Linked DNA regions of Ovis aries. The protein of the gene in region 1 interacts with the protein of each later gene in a pairwise test. Links are inferred from orthologs where the notes say so. Each region holds a gene or a part of one and is shown in the gene's direction. Other genes may lie near its edges.

The links. The genes of interacting proteins can lie anywhere in the genome.
Region 2: the proteins of TEAD4 (region 1) and WWTR1 interact in binary tests that used the Homo sapiens proteins (3 or more experiments, as listed by UniProt). The two-hybrid records come from large-scale screens. The link is inferred for Ovis aries from reciprocal best matches to the Homo sapiens genes TEAD4 and WWTR1.

What each region holds. Positions count from the first base shown.
Region 1 is NC_056056.1:212,612,569-212,618,192, reverse strand, and holds part of TEAD4 (transcriptional enhancer factor TEF-3), read left to right. Parts: intron 1-697; coding exon 698-838; intron 839-1,199; coding exon 1,200-1,352; intron 1,353-2,162; coding exon 2,163-2,276; 3' UTR 2,277-5,624. UniProt on the Homo sapiens protein: Transcription factor which plays a key role in the Hippo signaling pathway, a pathway involved in organ size control and tumor suppression by restricting proliferation and promoting apoptosis.
Region 2 is NC_056054.1:239,358,226-239,364,588, forward strand, and holds the end of WWTR1 (WW domain-containing transcription regulator protein 1), read left to right. Parts: intron 1-981; coding exon 982-1,166; 3' UTR 1,167-4,409; downstream 4,410-6,363. UniProt on the Homo sapiens protein: Transcriptional coactivator which acts as a downstream regulatory target in the Hippo signaling pathway that plays a pivotal role in organ size control and tumor suppression by restricting proliferation and promoting apoptosis.

The sequences.
Region 1 (5,624 bases):
GTTCTGAGGACTGGCAGGTGCAGGAAGCTTAGGTGTCCCCCTTGTGACTATAGGACCACTCCTTGCCCAGAGCCAGCGTGAGGGGGCAGGCTCAGACAGTCACGTGCCACACTGTTGAAGGCACACACCCTGCGCCTGGCCGAGCCCTGGGAGAGCTTGGTTCCTGCCTCCGGGGTTTTCAGAAGGGGCAAGGCCAGGCCCTGCCAACCCGGTGCTGTTCCCATTTTAAAGGGGTTCTGCACGAGGGTGCCAATACCTCTCAGAGCAGTTAGAGGAGGGGCCGAGTGGAAGGGGACCGGTGTTGGGGAGACTGATCTGGAGGCAGAACTGAGATGCAAGTCTAGGGTGGCTGGGCTCACAGGGCCACAGAGATGGCAAGGGGCTGACCCCCCAGAGCCATTGCTGAAAGGCACCGGCAGGGTCTCGTTGTGCTGAAGGCCAGTGTGAGGTCCTGTCTGCTGGGCAGTTGGTACCTGGTGGGCAGCAGGGGCCAGGCTCTTGACACTGTTTCTGTCGCACAGCCTGACTTTACCCCAGGCCTGCGTGTGAATGGGCGGGGCGGCTTTCTGAGGTTCCTCATCCATGTTCTTTCTGAGCACCGCCCCCTCAGTCGTGTCCTGGCCCTGGGGCCTGGGCCGTGACCTCCACCAAGACCCCTCTGAGTCACTACCCGGCCCTCGCCCTTGTCTCCCTCCAGGCAGACCTCAACACTGACATGGAGGACGAGGGCGGCTCCTTCTACGGGGTGTCCAGCCAGTACGAGAGCCCCGAGAACATGGTCATCACCTGCTCCACCAAGGTGTGCTCCTTCGGCAAGCAGGTGGTGGAGAAAGTAGAGGTAGGCCATGCTGCCCACCTGGGCTCTGGCCCCTCACGCGCACACACACACCGCCCCCAGCTTGGGCTTCTCGCCTCTTCCCCTAGATTTGTCTGAATTAGGGCAGTCTCACCCTCACCTCGTCCTTACCACTGACAGCCTGCCTCACGCCCAGCACGAGCCGGGGAGTGGTGGGAGGCCAGGCACCCCCATCCTGGTGGTTCTCACCGGCTGTACATCAGGTCTTGGGGGGCCAACACCCTGGCACTGAGTCCCCCACAGTGTTTAACCCCAGACCTCTCCCACCTGCGGGTGGTGTCTGGGAACCGCCGGGCTGGCGGTGGGCGGCGGCCTCCTAAGCCGCGCGTCCCCGGCCCTGCAGACCGAGTGCGCGCGCTACGAGAACGGCCACTACTCCTACCGCATCCACCGCTCCCCGCTCTGCGAGTACATGGTCAACTTCATCCACAAGCTGAGGCACCTGCCCGAGAAGCACATGATGAACAGTGTGCTGGAGAACTTCACCATCCTGCAGGTGTGGGGGGACAGGCGTGCGTGTGTGCAGATGTGGGAAGGCAGGTGTGTGTGTGGGGGACAGGCGTGCATGTGTGCAGATGTGGGAAGGCAGATGTGTGTGGGGGGGACAGGTGAGTGTGCAGGTGTGGGAAGGCAGGTGTGGGGGGAAGGTGGGTGGTGTGTGCTGGTGTGAAGTCAGGTGTGGGGGGGAGGTGGGTGGAGTGTGCAGGTGTGAAGGCAGGTGTGAGGGGAAGGTGGGTGGTGTGTGCAGGTGTGGGGGAACAGGTGTGTGTGTGGGAGCAGGTGGAAAGGCAGGTGTCTGGGGGGGACAGGTGTGAAGACAAGTGTGGGGAAACAGATGTGTGTGTGTGCAGGTGTGGGAAGGCAGGTGTGTGTGTGTGGGGACAGGTGTGCGATGTGTGTGTGTGTGCAGGTGTGAAGGCAGGTGTGGGGGGAAGGTGGGTGGTATATGCAGGTGTGGGGGGACAGGTGTGTGCGTGTGTGCCAATGTGGGAAGGCACGGGTGTGTGTGGGGGGACAGGTGTGTGGTGTGTGCAGGTGTGGGAAGGCAGGTGTGTGTGTGGGGACAGGTGTGTGGTATGTGCAGGTGTGGGAAGGCAGATGTGTGTGTAGGGACAGGTGTGTGGTGTGTGCAGGTGTGGGGTGACAGGTGTGTGGTGTGTGCAGGTGTGTGGCGACAGGTGTGTGGTGTGTGCAGGTGTGGGGGGACAGGTGTGTGCTGTGTGCAGGTGTGGGAAGGTAGGTGTGTGTGTGTGGGGGGGTGGGTGGTGGGCGGAGCGGACAGCACACTGTCTCCCACACCCCACAGGTGGTCACCAACAGAGACACCCAGGAGACCCTGCTGTGCGTCGCGTACGTCTTCGAGGTGTCAGCGAGCGAGCACGGGGCTCAGCACCACATCTACCGGCTGGTGAAGGAGTAGAGACCAGGGACAGGGAGGGGGTGACATCACGTGTGCAGGGACGAGGGGAGGGGCCCCATGGGGCAGCCCCCGAAGCACCGAGAGTTGAGGTGGTGACTCTTCTACCCAGGAGCAAATTCTGCCTGAACCTGCAATTGCCCAAGCCCAATAAACCCCAGCTCTGTGCGTCTTCAGAGGCCCCGTCTGGCTGCGCGAGCCCCGGGAGGGCTGAGGGAAAAGGGGCCGGATGCCACCCCGGGCGTGGCTGTGAAGCCAGGGCTCCGTGGACTCGGCCAGGACGGTTGCCAGCTGCCGACGCTCAAGATGGCATGTCCCCGAGCTGCCCTGGAGGCCTTGCCCCCGGCTCCGGCCACAGTGGGAGGCCTGGGGACAGGCACGGGTCCCCCACCTGTGTGTCCTGTGCGGGCACCTCGGCCACCGGGAGTGATGTGTCTGCCTCACTTTCCCCACCGCCTCTGCTGCCGCTCCCTCTGAACAGCCGACGGGGAGGCCGGCCCAGCTCGGGGGTGGGTTTCAGGTGTGGAGGTTAGACAGGGGCAATCAGAGCTCTTTAGCTCCAGTGGGCGTGAACTCTCTGGCCCTGCCAGCTGTCTGGGGGGTGGGTTCCAGGTCAGGGGGGGCCCAAGACAGAGAGGGTAGGAGTGCTGGGGCCAGCTTCTGAGTGTGGGTGGGGGCTCTGGGGTTCCTCGGTGTCCTCTTCGGTGGTGAAGGCCAGGAACGTTGGTCTGAGGTCCGCGCTGTTCTGGTGGTCTTTGAGACCATGCAGTTGGTATGCCTTGCCATCTCACAGCAAACGCCTCCCAGCCAAGAAGCCTGCTGGGTGGTGACCACCTCGAGGCAGCCGCGCTGACCACCCCCTCCCCGGACGGAAGGTTCTATGCACCCTGGGGATGGAGGAGAGGGGAGTGGAGCCCACCCTGGGCCTGGGGGGACCCCTCAGCTGAGGGAATTTCCCTGGTCTGTTCCTCCTGGCAACTGGCCTCAGTCCTAGGGCTCCCCGCTGCCTGCCCTGTCTCAGCGTGTGTCCTTTCCTGCCTGTAGAGGGGGACGGCCTTAGTGAGGAGGACATGTCTGTATAGTGCCTGACGCAAGGTGCACTAAAGAGAGAAAAAGTTACCGTCCTCTTACCCCTCCTGGCCCTTGGGATACTGGGAACCGGCTCTTTGCTGCCATCTAGTGGCTGTTTGCTATCATCTTGCCTAATAGGGACCCACACTTCCCGGAGCCTGGAACCCAAGGAGACTAAGAGTCACGTGCAGGAGTTTTGTGTGCTGATCTCAGGGACATGTGTGGGGATATGAAGTGAATAAGATGGTGTTGAGGAGGTGTTGTGTGGTTAGGAGCCAGGGCTCCAGAGTCAGTGGCTAGGATTGGAATCCTGGTGCTCAGCTTTGGACTGTGTGGCCTTGGGGAAGTTACCTAATTTCACTGTGCCTCAGTTTCCCCATCTGTACAATGGGTATAACAATAGTACCTACCTCGTATATGTAGAGTGCCTAGCGTGGTGCCAAGCACACGAGCGCGTGCTGTGAGTATGCATTATTATTAATAGCACTGACTCTTGCAGTCTGAGGAGTCAGCTTGGGAGACTCTTAAGTGGGGGTGGGGTGGTCCTCAGAGCAACTGGAATTCAGAGGTGGGAGGGGGTGGGGCTTGGAAGGTTCAGGGAAGAGGCGGAAATTGAGAGGGGCTGCTTCTTGAAAGAGAGGCATTGCCTAGATGAACAGCCTGAAGGGGCAGTCTGCTGGCAGCTCTGGACAGGGCAGGAGGACCAGCCCTCCAGCTTCCTTCTGGACAGCTGCTAGACCCCGGGCCAAGTCGTATCTCCCTCCTGGGTGCTGGGGCCTGGGTGCGAGGGGTCCCTGAGTCTCTGAGAATTGTCTACCGTCTTTGTGTGGTTTGGGTCTGGGGAGGCTTTCCTGCCCACCCCTGGTCACTGTCATGGCCTTTGCCCTCCCACCTCCCCACCCGTGTTCCCGGAGCTGTCAGGATAAAGGGAGCCCGTGACCTCTGTGCCCGCACAGGACTGAACCTTCGGACAAACACTGGTGTATGAGTAGCCTTGGGCCCTGGGACAGATGCACAAACTGCGTCCATCGTTTTGTGTCCTGGGTCTAGGGAGTCCATGTAGATGTTGGGGCCAGAGCTGGCTTCGAGTGTTCCCTTCTCTTTAGGGCCTGGTCTCAGCAGCCTAATGGACAGTCACCTACTTAGAGCTGGAAAGTCCAGACCGTTCCACCACCGGGAACATAGGTCTAGGCGCCTCTCCCTGAGGCGCAGTGCAGACCGTGACCCTCGGGGCCAACAAATGGGAGGTCCCACCCGGCCCGCTTCTCCTGCGCCATCATCTCACACACATCCCCTCCTAGCCACTCTCTGCCTCTAGTCTTGGCACCTCATGTCCCCTGGCCAGCAGGCCCCTGGAGAACTGTCACTCATTCTTGCATGGAGTGACACTCCCAGCATGGAGCCACTCCTGCAGAAGGGATGCTGGCTCCTGCCTGGCGGGGGAAAGGCATTCCACTCACAACCCATCAGGGCACCTGTCACCCGTCCCTGCGCACTGGGGCTGAGACATCTCTTCCATTCTCAGCCGGGGGTGCTGTGCTCTCCCCATTTTAAAGATGAGGGAGGGGCGTCCAGAGAGGCCAGCTAACTTGCTTGGAGTCTTCTGGAATCTGAATGCATGTATTCACCAGCTTAACACATGTTTATTTAACTTCTGGTTCGTACCAGACACAGGGATGTACAGACGGCTGAGACAGATGGGGTCTCTGGGAAGCTTATGTCTTACTAAGGAGGGAAGACAAACCGAGTGGGTAAAGGGTGGGTAGACTGACGGGGGACCACCAGGAGACGAGAGAGGCCCTGGGACCTGGGGAGGGTGGCGTGTGCGTGGGGACAGTGGGGAGGCCGTGTCAGGAGCTGAGAGAGGGAGCTGCAGGTCCAGATGTGGCCCAGGTCCTGGCCCCCAAGGTCAGGAAGAGCTTGGATTTTCCTCTGTATGCTGGGAGGTCCTGGAAGGGTCTCAAGTGAGGGAGTAATACTGTCGAGTCTGGTTTCTGGGAAACACCACCAGGCGGCTGTGGCCCACAGCACAGTGCCATTGTTTCTGGGTCTGTCTTACCCTTGGACGCCGCATCAGGGGCAGGGGAGCCACTGCAGGGCAGAGGGGTCCTGCTCTGCCACCTTCCACAACCCAAACCCCACGTCTGGGGCACGGCAGCTGCCTGGTGAACATTCGAAGGTGCGTGATCTGTGCCTTTGGGGCTGTGAGGTTCCTGGAGTCTGTGCGCCCCTTAGGGATAGAACCCTCCTGATGGCACTGGGAGCCAGGAGGTGGGGACG
Region 2 (6,363 bases), on another chromosome or scaffold:
TTTGGGGTATATGTACATGTGTAGTGAGGGGGGCAATCTGCAGAAGCCACTTTCTAAAATACTTTGAACATGATCCCCAGAGTTGTCAATGAAGATTGTTTTTTAATAACATAGTTATTAAAACTACCTTTGAACATAAAGAGGATGATATGAGCAAACTTGAGTTTACAATTAAATTGTTGGATTATAGCTCTGTGGTACGGATTTTATGACTGTCAGAGCCTCTCTACTCAAACCAGCTCTTCGTGCCATTGTCATGGGAAGTCAGTGATGGTAGTCAGATCCACAGTGTCCTCATTTTCTCCTTTCCTGTGTCCCTGCACTTACCCATTCTGGACCATGTCTACCCAGAACAAGTAAAGATTGGCCCAGCATCTCTGTGTCTCTTAGGTGTGAGCACCACCAACTCAGTTTCAGTAACGTGGTAGCTGAAATTTTGCAAGGAGATGAAATATTTGCAACCTGCAGCAATAAGATCTTCTGGTGGAATGTGAGCACAGTGGAAGTGAAGATGAGAGTTATGTTGACAACTGAACTGGTTCCTCTTTTCAGGAGCCTTAAAAAAGAAATAGGGTTCATCTGTACTATTTTTCTAGATTCCACATATGTGTGTTAATACACGATATTTGTTTTTCTGTTTCTGTTTCACTCTGCAGGAATAGAAACAGACATAGAGACCAGATGTGCGGACAAGGGGGCATGGGGAAGGTGGGATGAGTTGGAGACTGGGATTGACATATGTATATGACCATGTGTAAAATAGATAGCTAGTGGGAACCTGCTGTGTAGCACAGGGAGCTCAGCTCAGTGCTCCGTGATGACCTAGAAGTGTGGGATGGGGAGTAAGGGAGGTCTAGGAGGAGGTAGAAACATGTACATGTAGCTGATTCTCTTCATTGTACAGCAGAGACCAACACAACATTATAAAGCAATTATACTACAATAAAAGAATTAAAATGGTTTCATTCTTTTCCATTACAGGAGAAAACACAGGACAGACACCCATGAATATCAACCCTCAGCAGACCCGTTTCCCTGATTTTCTTGACTGTCTTCCAGGAACAAACGTTGATCTGGGAACTTTGGAATCTGAAGATCTGATCCCCCTCTTCACTGATGTAGAATCTGCTCTGAACAAAAGCGAGCCTTTTCTAACCTGGCTGTAATTAATATCATTGTAGCTTGGATGCAGCCGTGACCTGACATTTCCTGGGCCTCTTGGAAAAAGCGATGGAGCAGAGCAAGGTGGCAGGTGAGCTACCTCCTGCCTCCATCACACATGCTCCCTCCTTTCCTTGTGGCCAGTTTAATAATTGCCTGGATTTGATTGGCAGTCACTGAAGTTAAACATGAATAAACATTCTATTTCTGTTTTCTGCAAGCCTGCATTCCTGTGATGGGTTGTGCAGCAGAATTGATTATGCAGAATTGCTTCTTTGTTTTCCTCTCTGCTGCCCCATGACCAAGCTTTATGGGTGTTAGCTGAAATTTATACATCAATTGATTATAAACCATGAAAAACTGATGACCACAGGCAGTGACTTTTGACAGGTGGCTCGGTCCAGGAAATGTACACAAAACTCGACCTGATTTACAGTTTCAAAAACTGTATTGATGACATTAGTACCAAATGCTTTAAAGAATATTTAACTTGAGCTTTAAAAATCATTGTACTGATAGTAAAATTCTGCTGTTTGGAATACAGTGTAGTTTTCAATTCATGCAGGTTCTGATGGCTCTTATTACCTGTATTCTCAAAGGCACACAGAGTCCTATTGTGTATCCTTCTTCATTTTACTGCACAGCATCTAGACAACTATCCTTCTAACAGGAGAGTGGCAATGGCATTCGTTACAGTTCCTACACCAAGATCTCATGAAAGAGAAAGAGACCAGTTTGGTACTAATTTTGAACATTTATTAAACAAACGGTTTTTAAATGACAAGTTGGATTTTTAAGAAAATTACAGCTTAGAATATGATGTCTATTTTATGAAGCACTATCATTTGGTGACTGATGACAAATTTCAGCCAAATGTTTTTGATAAATCAGTGGCAACTATATTTTTGTCCTTTGAAACTGTTCTGAAAACATCAGTACCACATAGCTTTCAACCTGATGGCATACAGTGAGCTGTTGCTTTTAAAATTCTGAAGCCTTGTTGGCTTTTCTTCTTTCAAGATTTCTAGGGTTTAAAATAATCTTATCTATGAAGCTGTTTGAAGGATGAAGCAGATCTCTGACTGATGGGTCAAAAAATGCCCCCTGAGGGTGTATGGTGGAGACCCTTAGTGTTTCTGAAGTCACTAAAGTTGATTCCTAGGTGTATTATCCTAATCCTGTTTGCTACAGTTGGTATAGAAAGGCATGAAATATGTACTCAGTACCTCTTATGTAACCAAAACCATTTTTTTTTGTTTGTTTTTTATTAGCTTTTAAGGACTGAGAGAGAGCATCGGGTTCGCCTGGCATGCACTCTGCCTGCATTGCCAATGAAGTCCTCAATTGTTTAATATTTTGAACTGACATTATTTATAATCTATGAATTTAATATCTTTTTTGAGAGACATTAATAATGCAGGTCTCTGAGAGGAACCTTTCCATTCCCAGAGGGGCTTATTTGCTGGGGATCTGAGATCCTTTTTGATCTACCAAAAGACAGACAGGCAGAATACATCTTATCTTGTTGGAATGAAGGCAAGTGTAAAGGTCAGAGATGAAGTAGTAACGTTAGGGAATACAGTGGAAAGGCTACTAGGTGTGAGATGGAAATAGACAAGCTATGGTGCCCCAAAAGCAAAAGGAGAAGGAGGTGTGAGGTGCCCCCAAAGAACAAAGCAATGATTTTCTCCTACAACTTTTGTACCAAAAGACTGTTGTAGAAGAAAAGAAGGCTTCGGTGCACTTTCTGTGGGAGAAGGAGGCACAGCGCTCGTGTTGCCCTGTCCACGCTGATGTTAAGTGAGTAGGCGGATGAGAGCTTAAACCTACTGTTGCTTCCAACACAAAGAAGTGACTTTTTTCCCCTGAAGGACCCATGGTTTCTCTTCCTCTGATTCTATCTCTTTTTCAAAACGTTCTGAGAGATGAGGGTAGATGTTTCTATTGCTACTATATTGAAGGGAGCACTATTTCTTTTTCTCTTCTGTTAGCAATAATTGCAAAAAGCATTGTACATTCTTTCTAAGAAAAAGCAAAAAAAAAAAAAAAAGACTCAAAAACAAGGGACCTAGTAAAACGGAGCAGTGTTACTGTATTTTTTAAAAATATTTTTATAGATTCATTTTCAGGTTATTAAACATTAAAGAAACAATTATCCCTCCTTTTTTTAAGTAGTTAAAACATTGATGATTTGTATTATCAATTTTTAGAAATAATTTCCTAGTAAGCTTGTGGCATTAGAAAACACTAGAAGAATTTTTTTTTAGTGAGATTAGTTGGAACATTTATTAATGAACATAACAATTATTTTTCCAGAATTAGACACAGATCCTGACTACATGTTTACTAATAAATGAAGCCAGATCTAATTTTTGTTGTTATTTTTAAGGCCATGTTATATGGCCTTTGTTAAAGAACACTAAAGCTAGAAATCTAGAAACAACTTTTTAAAGGTTCTTTCCTATTATTGTAAGTGTTAAAACCCCTGCAGAATTCATGATAAGGTGCTATTTATACTATATTTCTTATTATAAAATGACTGCCAAATATCGTGTCTTTTTAGTCCTAAGTCAATCAGTAGATTTCAACATTTCATCCAGGTTAAAAATGGAAAAATAATTTCAGAAATCTTTCTTTTAAGGTATTTTCTTTCCCTGATAAAACACATTTCCTTGAAGCCAATACATTGTCAAGACCTATTTGCAATTCTGTTAAATCTAAGTAATTATTAGTGTTTCACCATAGAATTTAGGATGTGATATGCCTTTCTTTCGCTGATTATACAATATAAGTAAAAACAGAGTAAAACAGTTAGTGTGCTGGGGGTGTTACTGACTCCAGCTTGGCAGAAAATCTCTCTGGAGAAGAAGGTGATCAGGAGTGAGAGAGTTTTACTAATGACAAGTGATGTTCTCATAACAGAAAGCAACTTCCAGAAGTGCAACTTTTATGACAAACAAAAGCTGTTAAAAGGAAATTGTAGATTAATTTAATTGGGAAAGTAGGTTATCAACAGAGACTGTTTCCCTAACACACTACATCATTTATGTGTTCGTATTTTAACTTTTAAAAAAATTATTTCTACATTTTGTAATATGATATATGTGTGTTTATTTTTAATTCAAATTGCTATGCATATAGAGAATATGCAGAAAAATCAATCAGATCAAACTATTTTACCCGGAGTTTGGTACTGGTTTTTACTTCTCTGATTCTGTATAAGAAAAATAAATACAATTGAATTTCCACTTGGAGTCTTTATCTTGTCATGATTTGTGTGTGTTCTTTTTACTGAGGGCTTTGGGTGGTACTGGAGGAAAGCTTATGTAACCTTCCTGGCAGACAATGAAGGAAAGAAAATTTTGTAGACAAACATTTTTTTGGCTCAAATGCCTGGTTTTCAATATTCTAAATATCCAGAGTTCTGGTTTCTACTTTATTTGAAGTAACTCACTGAGACTTTAAAAACTCTGTGTGTGTGTGTGTGTTTGTGTCCTTGTGCTAAGTCACTTCAGTTGTGTCTGACTTTTTGCAACCCCATGGACCGTATCCCACCAGGCTCCTCCGTCCATGGGATTCTCCAAGCAAGAATACTGGAGTAGGTTGCCATTTCCTCTTCCAGGGAATCTTCCTGACCCAGGAATTGAACCCAAGTCAGCCCTTCCAACAACCTTGCAGATCTGACTGAAGCATCAGGACTAAAGTATTTTTCTTTGTTTCTCTGTCATTAACAATATGCTGTGGCTTCTTGGGCTTCCCTGGTGGCACAGACAATAAAGAACGCAATGCAGGAAACCTGGTTCAGTCCCTGGGTTGGGAAGATGCCCTGGAGGAGGCCATAGCAACCCCCTCCAGTATTCTTGCTTGGAGAATCCCATGGACAGAGGAGTCTGGAGGGCTACAGAACATAGGGTCGCAAAGTGTCAGACATAACTGAGTGACTAAGCACAGTGTGACTTCTTGTCAAACCAAAAGCAGCTCATCATTCACTCTGTGACAGTGTATTTCCTCTGTCTTTTGAGCCCCCTGATTCTTGCTGTGGTGACACTTTATGATGTGAGGGCTCTTTTAGTAGCAGAGTGTTTTTAAGCAGAAGCACTCAGCTGAACAACAAAAGAAGAAATCCTGGGGGAAACAACTTAGCAACAGTCCAGAGTCTAAGCCTCATGGATCTTTTTTAAAACTGTATTTCATCATTACTTTTAAGTTAACAGAGGCTCTCTGTTGAAAGTGTTATAAGTACCAACACGTATAAAGTAAAAATATGAAAGTTCTCTATCTTTCAAGTCTCACACTTCAAAAAATATGTTTGTTAGATTTTTTCCCCCTATAAGCTGGATTTTTTTAACAAAAGAAGAGCAATTCTAATGATATTACTGATACATATTGAACATTTACTAAGTGACAGACACTCTGCAAAACATTTGATATGAATTATCTAATTTAATCTGCACATCAACACTATTATTTCAATACTGTCCTCATTTTACAGATGAAGAAACTGAGGCTTAGAGAGGTAAAATAATTTTTATAAGGGTACATAGTAAGCAAGAAATATATCCAAAAGCTCAAGATTGCTCTTCCATGCGAGTACATGTGTATTTTATTATATTTAACAATAAGTAATATCCTTTTGCATGGGTGTCCCCTCTTGGTAATCAGTTGGTTGTTTTCAGTTTTTGCCCTTAAAATAGTACTGGACGTAGCAGTTTGTCCTTTTGATATTTATTTATTTTGGCTGCACTGGGTCTTACTTGTGGCATGCAGGATCTTCAGTTGCAGCATTTGGGATCTGGCCCCCTGCATTGGGTGTGCAAAGTCTCAGCCACTGGACCACTAGTCCCAACAGTTTGTTCTTGTATGAGTATGTCTAGAGGATAAATTCCTCAGAAAGAAATCACTATATCAAAAGATATGTGATCTTAAATCTTGGTAGATTCTGTCAAATATTTTTGAAAACAAGTCCATGCCAATTTTTACACTTCTAAGAACAATGTATGCAAAGGCCTGTTTCACCATTGCCAGGCTAGAGCTGGATATTGCCTAACTTTTGTTGTTTTTCTTGTTTTGCCAGTTTGAGGCTACAAACATACAGTCTCAAAAAAAAGAAAGTCAAATTTGATTTGTATGAACATTAACTCTTTTGGTCCCCCCCACCCACATATACATCCCACAAAATGTTCATGAATATATGTGGAATAT